2 linked regions of the Xenopus tropicalis genome follow. The protein of the gene in region 1 purifies or fractionates together with the protein of each later gene. This does not show direct contact. Links are inferred from orthologs where the notes say so. Each region holds a gene or a part of one and is shown on either strand. Other genes may lie near its edges.

Region 1 (6,265 bases):
CCCCTGTGTGTCACATGACTCCCATTGGGGGCATTTCTACTGTAAATAACCGGTCTGTGCTGCCCCTGTGTGTCACATGACTCCCATTGGGGGCATTTCTACTGTAAATAACCGGTCTGTGCTGCCCCTGTGTGTCACATGACTCCCATTGGGGGCATTTCTACTGTAAATAACCGGTCTGTGCTGCCCCTGTGTGTCACATGACTCCCATTGGGGCATTTCTACTGTAAATAACCGGTCTGTGCGGCCCCTGTGTGTCACATGACTCCCATTGGGGGCATTTCTACTGTAAATACCCGGTCTGTGCTGCCCCTGTGTGTCACATGACTCCCATTGGGGGCATTTCTACTGTAAATAACCGGTCTGTGCTGCCCCTGTGTGTCACATGACTCCCATTGGGGGCATTTCTACTGTAAATACCTGGTCTGTGCTGCCCCTGTGTGTCACATGACTCCCATTGGGGGCATTTCTACTGTAAATAACCGGTCTGTGCGGCCCCTGTGTGTCACATGACTCCCATTGGGGGCATTTCTACTGTAAATACCCGGTCTGTGCTGCCCCTGTGTGTCACATGACTCCCATTGGGGGCATTTCTACTGTAAATACCCGGTCTGTGCTGCCCCTGTGTGTCACATGACTCCCATTGGGGGCATTTCTACTGTAAATAACCGGTCTGTGCGGCCCCTGTGTGTCACATGACTCCCATTGGGGGCATTTCTACTGTAAATAACCGGTCTGTGCTGCCCCTGTGTGTCACATGACTCCCATTGGGGGCATTTCTACTGTAAATACCCGGTCTGTGTTGCCCCTGTGTGTCACATGACTCCCATTGGGGGCATTTCTACTGTAAATACCCGGTCTGTGCTGCCCCTGTGTGTCACATGACTCCCATTGGGGGCATTTCTACTGTAAATACCCGGTCTGTGCGGCCCCTGTGTGTCACATGACTCCCATTGGGGGCATTTCTACTGTAAATACCCGGTCTGTGCTGCCCCTGTGTGTCACATGACTCCCATTGGGGGCATTTCTACTGTAAATACCCGGTCTGTGCTGCCCCTGTGTGTCACATGACTCCCATTGGGGGCATTTCTACTGTAAATACCCGGTCTGTGCTGCCCCTGTGTGTCACATGACTCCCATTGGGGGCATTTCTACTGTAAATACCCGGTCTGTGCTGCCCCTGTGTGTCACATGACTCCCATTGGGGGCATTTCTACTGTAAATACCCGGTCAGTGCTGCCCCTGTGTGTCACATGACTCCCATTGGGGGCATTTCTACTGTAAATAACCGGTCTGTGCTGCCCCTGTGTGTCACATGACTCCCATTGGGGGCATTTCTACTGTAAATACCCGGTCTGTGCTGCCCCTGTGTGTCACATGACTCCCATTGGGGGCATTTCTACTGTAAATACCCGGTCTGTGCTGCCCCTGTGTGTCACATGACTCCCATTGGGGGCATTTCTACTGTAAATACCCGGTCTGTGCGGCCCCTGTGTGTCACATGACATCCATTGGGGGCATTTCTACTGTAAATAACCGGTCAGTGCTGCCCCTGTGTGTCACATGACTCCCATTGGGGGCATTTCTACTGTAAATACCCGGTCTGTGCTGCCCCTGTGTGTCACATGACTCCCATTGGGGGCATTTCTACTGTAAATAACCGGTCTGTGCTGCCCCTGTGTGTCACATGACTCCCATTGGGGGCATTTCTACTGTAAATACCCGGTCTGTGTTGCCCCTGTGTGTCACATGACTCCCATTGGGGGCATTTCTACTGTAAATACCCGGTCTGTGCTGCCCCTGTGTGTCACATGACTCCCATTGGGGGCATTTCTACTGTAAATAACCGGTCTGTGCTGCCCCTGTGTGTCACATGACTCCCATTGGGGGCATTTCTACTGTAAATACCCGGTCAGTGCTGCCCCTGTGTGTCACATGACTCCCATTGGGGGCATTTCTACTGTAAATACCCGGTCAATGCTGCCCCTGTGTGTCACATGACTCCCATTGGGGGCATTTCTACTGTAAATAACCGGTCTGTGTTGCCCCTGTGTGTCACATGACTCCCATTGGGGGCATTTCTACTGTAAATAACCGGTCAGTGCGGCCCCTGTGTGTCACATGACTCCCATTGGGGGCATTTCTACTGTAAATACCCGGTCAGTGCTGCCCCTGTGTGTCACATGACTCCCATTGGGGGCATTTCTACTGTAAATACCCGGTCTGTGCTGCCCCTGTGTGTCACATGACTCCCATTGGGGGCATTTCTACTGTAAATAACCGGTCAGTGCTGCCCCTGTGTGTCACATGACTCCCATTGGGGGCATTTCTACTGTAAATACCCGGTCAGTGCTGCCCCTGTGTGTCACATGACTCCCATTGGGGGCATTTCTACTGTAAATACCCGGTCTGTGTTGCCCCTGTGTGTCACATGACTCCCATTGGGGGCATTTCTACTGTAAATACCCGGTCTGTGCTGCCCCTGTGTGTCACATGACTCCCATTGGGGGCATTTCTACTGTAAATAACCGGTCTGTGTTGCTCTCAGGCTGCAGCTTTGGTGGAAGAGGAGACCAGAAGATATCGGCCTACAAAGAACTACCTGAGTTACTTGCCCACCCCCGACTATTCCGCATTTGAGGTAATGGCTTTCTCCCTATTCTGCAGCACCCTACACTGGGTGCCCCTCTGCTCTATTCACGGTGGTTGCACATTGGCCAACCAAATGGCTTCCCTGCTAGAGAACTCACCCTGGCAACTAAGAACCTATTGCTCTGTGAGGCTTCAATTTTATTGTTACTGTTACTTTTTATCCAGCCCCTCCCCTATACTCATTCACACCACTGTCTGGTTGCTAGGGTAAATTTGACCCTAGCAACTTGATATCTCTGCAAAATATTAATACTTCATTATTCATTCTGCTACTACTCGTCCTTATGTCTGTCAGTTCTCCAAAGATTGCTTTCATAGTCCCATAACCCCGAGGGGTTTGCATGCACAGAGCCCACCCTGGCACCTACTGGTGCTAATATCACGTGGGTGGGGGGCATGTTCCCTTCACAGAGGAGACCAAGATTCCAACTTTCATTCATTTTATTTAGACTGAAATCATGAGGAACGAGTTTGAAAGACTTTCGTCGCGCCAGCCCCTCGAACTGCTCAGCATGAAGAGGTGAGTGCCGTCTGGTTACTATGGGTTACTGGACCAAGATCTGTGCATTGCTTTACAGCCCTGTGGTTTCCATGTGGTCTCATTGTGCTGAAGGGTATCCGTGGAAATACCATACCCCTCTCTCTGATTCTAGGTATGAGTTACCGGCCCCCCTATCCGGCCAGAGGAACGACATCACCGCGTGGCAGGAATGTGTCAATAACTCCATGGCCCAATTGGAACACCAGGCCGTCCGTATAGAGAACCTGGAGCTCATGTCCCAGCACGGCTGTAACGCCTGGAAAGTCTATAACGAGTGAGTTGGGAACATGGCGTTGGGGGGGGGGGGGGGGGGGGGTGTTGATTTACAGCACAGGATATAGCATGACCCAATGATACTGCCGCCCTTCAGTCACGTGATTCTTCTGTCTCCTCCCAGGAACCTGCTGCATATGATCGACTGCGCGCAGAAAGATCTCCAGAAGTTACGGTGAGACGGCATTAAGCCCATACTAACCATATATATATATATATATATATATATATATATATATAATCCTTCCCTGGCCGTGGGGAAGAGAGCAGCCCAGAAGCAGGAAGTGCAGAGATTTAGAGCTCAGTTCCTGTGTAATTACTGGGATGAGCTTCGAGTTACCTACGTGGGGTAGTTCCTAGCCCTGGGGTATTACTAGCAGTTGCACACTTCCATTTTAACAGCTCTAACGCTTTCACTATTTGTCTTGTTACCGGAACAGGAAAAAGATTCAGGACTTGAACTGGCAGAGAAAGAACTCCCAGCTGACAGCAGGTGCCCGACTCAGAGAGATGGAGTCAACGTAAGTGAGATTTGTGCATTTTGTTCACACCTAGGGTGAACTTATCAAGGGAATACCTACTCCCCTATACTGTATTTCCATGAATGAAGTACACACAGGCTTTGAGTGTGCCTAGCGGGCTGTTCCTGCTGAACAGGGGAATCCCTATGCTGCCATAGTTTTATGGTATCTCTCTGTACAGGCTATGAGCAAACTTAGGGGGCTGTTCCTGCTGAATTGTGCTTAGTACAGGGGAATCCCTATGTGCCATAGTTTTATGGTATCTCTCTGTACAGGCTATTAGCAAACTTAGGGGGCTGTTCCTGCTGAATTGTGCTTAGTACAGGGGAATCCCTATGTGCCATAGTTTTATGGTATCTCTCTGTACAGGCTATGAGCAAACTTAGGGGGCTGTTCCTGCTGAATTGTGCTTAGTACAGTGTATGGTATTTATGGGATGCTAATATTTTAGCTTTAATAGAACTGGTAGTCATTTTCGTCTGTCTCTAACTTGCTTTCTGTGCCGGTTGCAGGTGGGTGTCTCTTGTGAGCAAAAACTACGAGATTGAGAGAGCAATTGTGCAAATGGAGAATGAAGTCTATCAGCTGAAAGAGAGGAGCGGGGAGAATAAGGAAAATATTGAAGATTATTAAGGCCCTGCCCCAAGGATTACAGGTTCCAGGGTAACAGCACCGGTCCTGCTGCAGAGACTCTGGCGCCATGTTGGGCAGCGCTGCTGGGGGTTCTGGTTGCTTTATGGCTCTTCACTCTGGAAATGTAGCGAGTAGTCTCTGCCTGGGTGCTGATAGGCGCAGGGATGGGTCTCCCTGTTTCACCCAAATGCCCCAGTGCTGCCTCGTAGGCCGGGCACATACCGGCTTTTATAAGGAAATTCTGACTTGTTTTTCACTGTAATATTAATAATAAAGTGTTTTCCAGAAATCTTCCACTTTTATCATCCTGTGCGCTCCTGGGGGTCTGTACTGAGCACCCCACACAACCGTAACCCTGGCCTGGGTGGGGGCACACCATTATATATTAGATAGCACCCCCGTCTCTGCACAAGTGCCTGATCTCACCAGAGGGAAATAGGTATGTTCTGAGCTGGGACGGATTTCCCACATGGGCAGCTTCGACAGATAACGGGTCATGTGTGTAACAGTGAGAGGAAATCAGCGTAAAAACCAATGAACTGTCTTCTATAGGCCATAGAGATACAGTGGGAAAGCCTGGCATTGCCCTTCCTCCTGGGTCTCATCTGTTTTTACAATGTTAATATCATGAAGGTGTAACAGGAGCGCCCCCTGCTGTTCTGTGCAGGCGGAGACACAAGCAGCACTGAGCCCAGAGACACTTCCAGCATCAGCAAATGAAACTTTTCCCCTATCTGTCTGGCTCTGACTTGGTGTGAATACTGCAAATAGCATGGAAACTAAAGAAGTAGGGCAGAAATGCTGTACATTATGTTTTGGGCTTCTGTACCAGCCACACAGCCCTTCAGCAGGGAAGATCTGTGCCAGTAAAGATGCCCCAGTAGCCCCCATCTTCTCTTCTGCCAATTCACTGCACATACTCTGTGCTGCTGACACAATATACTGTATGTATAGAATATTAATGTTGCAATATAACACTGATTAGTAAGTAATACAGCTGCCCAGAGCCCACTGAGCATGTGTGAGTCGCAGACACTCCTCTGACGGCTGTAAAGACCTGAATCACTGATGCTAGAGGGAGGCTGAACCTGTAGGCTGGGGCAGTAAGTTCAGTATATAAAATATAGCATTTCTAGCCATGTTCATTTTTAGGGTTTAGTCCTTAAGTGCCCATAATGGCGAGGCTGGTTACTAAGGGAAGGGCAGCCGGGCAACCTGTACAGAGCAGCAAGGGAGGTTAAACGACTGGCAGCACAAGTGGAAATGAAGTTCTAATAGAGAGTTTATTATACAGACAGTATGGCAGGAACATGTACAAGTGCCGCAGGGTTTGGGGCTCACTGGGCCTGAGCCGCCGCTTTCCTTTCCGCAATCATCCGGTGTTTCTGCTTCATCAGACATTTGCGAGCGTTGCCGTAAGCGCCGAGGTCGCCATCTGCCGACACAGAAGGAGTTTAATGGTCAGTAAGTTTAGTTGCTTTCGCCCAAGCTGCCAGCAAAATGTGCCTTGGGGGGGTCAGACTATCAGATGCCCGGCACAGGCAGGAGTATTAGACATGTGATTTGTCAGCGACTCAGTGGGGGTGCCAGTGTGAAAGGTGGGGGGTCAGAGTATCTGCTGCCTGGCACAGGCAGGCACTTTAGC
Region 2 (6,534 bases), on another chromosome or scaffold:
CGTTAGTAGAAGGAGAAGGAGATGCGTGTGAGATAGAAAAAGAGATAAGATTATGATCTGAAAGAGGAAAAGGCTCACTGTTAAATGCAGATAGATCTAGATTTTTGGAAACCATCAGATCTAGGAAATGACCATCCTTATGGGTAGCTGTATTAGTCCACTGCTGGAGATCATTAATTAGGAGAACCAATAGCTTATCTGAAAGAAGTTCCATTGTTAAGTGCTGGCTCTTTCTGAAAGCTCAAAGGCAGACACAATGGGGCACATTTATTAACAGTGGGCAAATTTGCCCATGGGCAGTAACCCATAGAAACCAATCAGTAATTACCTTTTTTCAGCCAGCTGCAGGTAGAACTATGAATGTAACAATTTGGTTGCCATAGGTTACTGCCTGTGGGCAAATTTTCCCACTGTTCATAAATGACCCCCAATGACCTGAGATGGCTCCCTACACATCAATATTACAACAAAAAAAATACATTTATTGGTTCAAGAATACAATTTAAAATGGAAGAACTAATTATTTGTAATGATTTGCAACTAATTATTTGCAACGTAAAAAAAACTATACCATACAAATTATGACAGAATCCCTTTAAAAACGGTCTTAACCACAAAAAAGGAATGAGTGTATATTTACTGAGTGGTGCTCTGCAAAATTTTGCAAATTATACTACTTTTCGCATACCTCCCAACTGTCCCGCATTTCTCCACCCTGTCCCGCAGTCCTGGATTGATTTTGAAATGTCCCGCGTTGTCTGAATTGCCCCGCTTTCTAAATTTCCCCTCTCTCTGCTCTTCTCCCTGTGACGTCACACTCGTGTCTCTCGCTCATTTCCATTCTAACATTTATGTGAATGCATTGCAGAAGCTGCGGTGCTCCCGATAGACGCGAGTGTGACATCATGGGGAGAAGAAGAGCCGGGGGACGCAGCAAGAGGCAGCAGGCGGGTGGGGGGGGGAGCAGGGGGAGCCGCAGGGAGGATGTTGCGGGGGAGTTGAAGGATGTTGAGGAGGACGCTGGGAGTGAGCTGGAGGATACTGGGGGGGAACTGGAGGAAGCTAAGGGGGAGCTGGGGGACGCTGAATAGGATGTTGCGGGGGAGCTGGAGCATATTAGGGGGGAGCTGAAGGATGTTGGGGAGGATGCTGGGAGGGAGCTGGAAGCTGGAGGAAGCTAAGGGGGAGCTGGGGGATGCGGGGGAGCTGAAGGATGTTGGGGAGGATGCTGGGGGGAGCTAGAGGATACTGGGGGGAGCTGAAGGATGTTGGGGAGGAAGCTGGAGGATGCTAAGTGGGAGCTGGGGGATGCTGGGGAGGACATTGCGGGGGAGCTGGAGGATGTTGGGGAGGACGCTGGGGGGACCTGGAGGATACTAGGGGGAGCTGGAGGATGCTGGGGAAGATGCTGAGAGGGAGCTGGAGGATGCTGGGGAAGGTGCTGGGAGGGAGCTGGAGGATGCTAAGGGGGAGCTGGAGGATGCAGGGGAGGACGCTGGGAGGGAGCTGGAGGATGCTGGGGGGAGCTGGAGGATGCTGCAGTGGGGAGCAACCCATACTATGGGGACAATGGGGGAGGACCAGCAATGTTTAAGGGGGCCCTGGGCTGGCTAGCAATGTTTTAGGGTGTCCCTGCCCTGCCACCAATGCAAAACGTAACACCTGGCTACCAATGTCATGATATACAGGTGCTACAGTGCGTAATGAAATTCTTAGGGCTACATATGTGATAAATGTCATAAAATTATTGGGGCCACCATGCCTATCTTCTGGTGCACTTTGTGTGTGTTATGTTTTTCAGGTGTGGTTTTGTAAAATGGGCCTGGTTGGGGGGCGTGGCCATAAAGTGGGCGTGTCCTGAAATATTTGTCCCTCCTTCTACTTTTCAAATGTTGGGAGGTATTTCTGAGATAGATGTTTTAGACTGCTAACAGCAGGCTTTCGCCTAAATAACTTATCAGGTAGTCTGTCTATGCAAATCTTGTATGTATTCCGTTTACCCTCAGGTTGCCGACTCTAAAGGCAGCCTAAGAATTGATAAAGATAATAAATTAATATAAATAGCACCAAACATGCATATATGTGGGGAAGCCCTTAGATAGTAAACACAACTAAAGAAGAGACTGACACGTATGATAATCACAAAGCGCTGTGAAATACTTCAGTGCTGCCAGGAACTGCAGCTGTACACATCCGGCTACACTACGCCGAGTCTATCTCTTCTTTCATTGCTTTACGTAAAACGTCTAGCTGTAGAGCGGATGTAGAAACAAAGAAAACCGGAAGTACTTTGCCGACGCTGGTTACACGCTGTTTCCAAGTTTACCTCGGTAGAACGGAGATAGCCCGCCAAAGGGCCTGCCCAATTTAAGTCTGAAAACAGGGAGTCCTAGCTGAACAGCATCACTAAAAAGAAAACAACGCTATTTCTCGCCTAACCATATTGCTCAAAGAGATACCTGGAAGATGTCTTTGACATGTTATAGTGAGTGCAACATAAAACAGCAGTAGAATAGCACTACCGGATTCATAAAATGCTTGTATAAAGTTGCTGAGCATCGGCTGTGTGGATGCAACGTGTCATTTGATACGATATTTGGTATACAGGTCCTATATATAGAAATTCAATGCAAGTTATTTAATAGTAGAAAATATTTTTCCCTAAATTTGTGTTTATGTCAACAAAAGTTGTATTGTATCTGGAGCTTGCTAATTGTGTTAAGTTAATATTTTTTGTAATATCTTGATGTATGATTTGTATACATTGATGTATGCCCCAAAAAGTTGGCGCTCTCTTTGGGGTTAAGATTTTAATCACTACAAGGATTAGGTAGAGGAAGGCAGCTCAAAGATATATTTAATTATAGTTCACTTAAAAGTAATTGATATAGATAAGTGGTATTTTTTTTTTCCCTCAAGTTTGCTTTTTCACATTAGTATACTCAGAGTATCCAAATTAATTGTATTGACATTGATTCAGGAGCGCGGACAGGGTTTGTATATACATTGATGTATAGTCATATTTAAAGCATTCAGAAAATGCAAGCAGGGTTATTAGCTGGGGATAGCTCTGTTAGAAATATGGTATTGTGACCATGATTTAGAAATATAATGTAAGAGATTGTAATTTGTGTACCTTTGCTTGCATACAAAACATTTAATTCATTAATGTATAAAATGGTTAGACTCCAACTTTAATGAAAGGTACTAAATACTTAATGCTTTTGTTCCTACCACTTGAATTTTAGGACATAATTGTATTTGACAGTACATGTGTATTTAAAACCTATGTTTAGACTTATAAGCAATTATGCCATTTATAATCTAAACATGTTTATAAAAATTCACATTTTTCTCATTTGCCTGTAGTCAGTAATGAGGTCACAGATCGCCCCTGCATTTCCCCGGTGTCGGGTCATATTTTTGATCGCCGCCTTATTGAAAAGTATTTGGCTGAAAATGGGACAGATCCAGTAACAAATCAGCCCTTAAGTGAGGATCAGTTGATTGACATTAAAGGTCAGTAGAGCTGTGAAAACGTCTAATGCTATTTTTCTTTGTGTTCAGTTTAATGGTACAGGTATGGGATCCCTTATCCAGAAAGTTTCCCATAGACTCCATTATAAGCAAATAATTCTAATTTTTTCCTTTTTCTCTGTATTAATAAAACAGTGCCTTGTACTTGATATATTTAATCCTTATTGGAGCCAAAACTATCCTATTGGGTTTATTCAATATTTAAATTATTTTTAGTGGACTTTAGTTATGGAGATCCAAATTACGGAAAGATTCCTTATCCGGAAAATCCAAGGTCCCAAACATTCTGGATAACAGGTCCCATACCTGTATAGGGAATTTACTTGTCATTCACCTGTAACCCCCCCCCCCCCCCAAAAAAAAAATTAGCCATACCTAACACAAAAAAAAACCAAAAAACTATAATTTCTGTTGGGTCATTTAAAGGTATTATTTTACGTTTGCACAACGCACAGTAATGCTAATTGTAGCTAGAGATGGCACATTGCTTCCAAAGCCAAATTTTACATTTTAATTAGTGTATGTTCCCAAACTTCACTAAGTGAATACACATAATTTTACAGATTTTTAGAAGAAAAATAACTGAATTATGCATTAGTAAGCCAATTTCTTGCTTTTAATTAGCCTATAATATATGGATCCACATATTTTTGTATTGCACTTTTTGTACACAGTTCTATGAAATACTTTTACAAAACTCTTAATGTTATTTTGGTTGACTGTGTCAAAAGACTTAAAAAGGGGAACTTCTATATCGTGGTTGGGCCTTACATATAGGTCATATTACAGACTATTTAAATTTTGTCTTTATTTACCTGTCTTTGAGCTACTGTATGTAAAATGTAAACTGGTAACAAGTTTAGATATTTATAATACCTAGACCTGTCGCAAAAAAAAATTGATTAGTAGATCTACATAAGAATAAATAGATTGTGCTGTGTATCCATTTATACTCTAAATTACACATGAGTGGTCTAAACAGATAATAGAACAACATTTTTTAAGTTTAATTCTTCTTTAATCACAGCAAAGAATGGAGCGATGTTTTTACTTTTTCTTCAATTAGTTTATTGAAGGGTCTTTTATCCTGTTTCTTACAGTAGCCCATCCAATTCGTCCTAAACCACCTTCTGCAACCAGTATTCCAGCAATCCTGAAATCATTGCAAGATGAGTGGGTTAGTATCTGGATCCTTCACTTTGTGCTTTCTCTCCTTACTGTCTATAAAATGTGTTGGTGTAGATTAAAAAAAAAAAAAATAGAACATATGTATTGCACAGCTGATTATTAATAAATAGATTTACAAAGCGTAACTGTATTCATTAGCCATGTGGTAAAGTGTATTGTTAGTGTTTAATGTATCAGGTTTTTTACTTGTTTAAATTAGTAAAGGGTAAATCTGCTGGGTATATTGTTTTATTGTTTTATACATGTGTTCTTTGCCTCAGTATATATTGTTTTATACATGTGTTCTTTGCCTCAGCAGAGGCAAAATTATGGAAACCTAATAGAGGTTTTGATATATCTTTACTGTTTCCTGCAGATACATTATTGCATCATAAGTGAGAATATGAAAATTACTGAAATTATTTTGATATCATGATGTTAAACATAACCACATAATACTTAAATATGGCAAGGTTTTGACCTTATGTACAGTAGTATTTGTTTTTTATTCATTTTTTTTCTCTAATAGTGGCAGCAGTAGCAATATATATGCACTGGCGTTCATTTGGAGGGGTTAAACTTGATGGACTTTGGGGTTTTTTTTCTACCCAGTTTAATTATGTAACCAGTTTCACTTTGTGCATGTTCATAGTTTGTTAGTAGATTGTGAGAGGGTTCGATTAAAGAAAAAAAATAAGACTTTTTTTTTCGGCTTGAGCCCCATGTGTGTCTACATTATCTATCTTTAGATGTGCTTTAATCATTGTGCAGCGAATAAGTTCGATATTATGTGGAAGGAAGCTATATAAATCCCCCAATATGGATCCATTTTTACATAAAGAAATCAGACCTACAGATTGTTTTTGCTGTGGAAAAATGGAGTAAGTTATGAGTAACCTCAGTCAATAATATAGCTTTTTCTAATTTCAGGATGCAGTGATGCTCCACAGTTTCACTTTGCGTCAACAACTACAGACCACTCGACAGGAGCTCTCTCATGCACTTTACCAGCATGATGCTGCTTGTCGTGTCATTGCTCGTCTTACCAAGGAGGTGACAGCTGCCCGTGAAGGTATGAAGTGCAGAAGGAGAGTGCTAGTATAAAAGGATTATTAAAGGAGAACTAAAGCTTAACTGAAGAAATAGGCTAGAAATGTTGTACATTATGTTTGGGCTTGTGTACCAGCCCAAGGTAACCACAACCCTTTAGCAGATTCCCCCAGTAGCTCCCCATCTTCTTTTCTACTGATTCATTGCACATGATCTGTGCTGCTTTAAGTTACAGAGCTTAGGGACCCACTCACAATATACCGAATATATAGAATATAAATGTCACCGTATATGGTAGATTAGTAATTTATTCAGATTCACTTTACATGGCAGCTCTAAAACCAGTGCAGTTAGCATCAGAATTTAATAATCAAACCTGTAGCATCAGCTTCTATGACAGCTCAAGCTTGTTTTCTGCTTGATAATTTGTGATGACCCCTAAGCTTAGCTACTCAACAGCTGCCCAGAGCACACTGAGCATGTGCAGTGTCCTGGACAGTTATAACATAATCTAAGATGGGGCATTCCTGTAACAACTGTAGACCTACTATAGAAATGCTGAAACTTTAAGCTAGTGCAGTCAGTTCAGTATATTAAATATGGCATTTATCATATTCATCTTTAGGTTTTTAAGTTAGGTATCTTTAGAAAAAAATATTTAGTTCCATGTTCCCATGGAGGCATTAATAAGTGCTGAATATATTATCCTGACTTGCTGCTTTGATACTGATACTCAGATATCCAGATTACTTGTTTTACTACATAAGGACGGTTACAACT

Evidence for each region.
Region 2: the proteins of bcas2 (region 1) and prpf19 purify together in Homo sapiens (co-immunoprecipitation; 10 studies listed by BioGRID and IntAct, counting the BioPlex papers as one, with this or other methods). This does not show direct contact. The link is inferred for Xenopus tropicalis from reciprocal best matches to the Homo sapiens genes BCAS2 and PRPF19.

The regions. Positions count from the first base shown.
Region 1 is NC_030682.2:7,010,969-7,017,233, forward strand, and holds the end of bcas2 (pre-mRNA-splicing factor SPF27), read left to right. Parts: intron 1-2,548; coding exon 2,549-2,641; intron 2,642-3,101; coding exon 3,102-3,172; intron 3,173-3,305; coding exon 3,306-3,467; intron 3,468-3,590; coding exon 3,591-3,641; intron 3,642-3,906; coding exon 3,907-3,987; intron 3,988-4,499; coding exon 4,500-4,620; 3' UTR 4,621-4,909; downstream 4,910-6,265. Other genes in the region: ndufb10 (NADH dehydrogenase [ubiquinone] 1 beta subcomplex subunit 10), read right to left, coding at 5,958-6,055. UniProt on the Homo sapiens protein: Required for pre-mRNA splicing as component of the activated spliceosome. Component of the PRP19-CDC5L complex that forms an integral part of the spliceosome and is required for activating pre-mRNA splicing.
Region 2 is NC_030683.2:60,625,029-60,631,562, reverse strand, and holds the start of prpf19 (pre-mRNA-processing factor 19), read left to right. Parts: upstream 1-2,337; 5' UTR 2,338-2,466; coding exon 2,467-2,485; intron 2,486-3,369; coding exon 3,370-3,519; intron 3,520-4,637; coding exon 4,638-4,714; intron 4,715-5,634; coding exon 5,635-5,776; intron 5,777-6,534. UniProt on the Homo sapiens protein: Ubiquitin-protein ligase which is a core component of several complexes mainly involved pre-mRNA splicing and DNA repair. Required for pre-mRNA splicing as component of the spliceosome.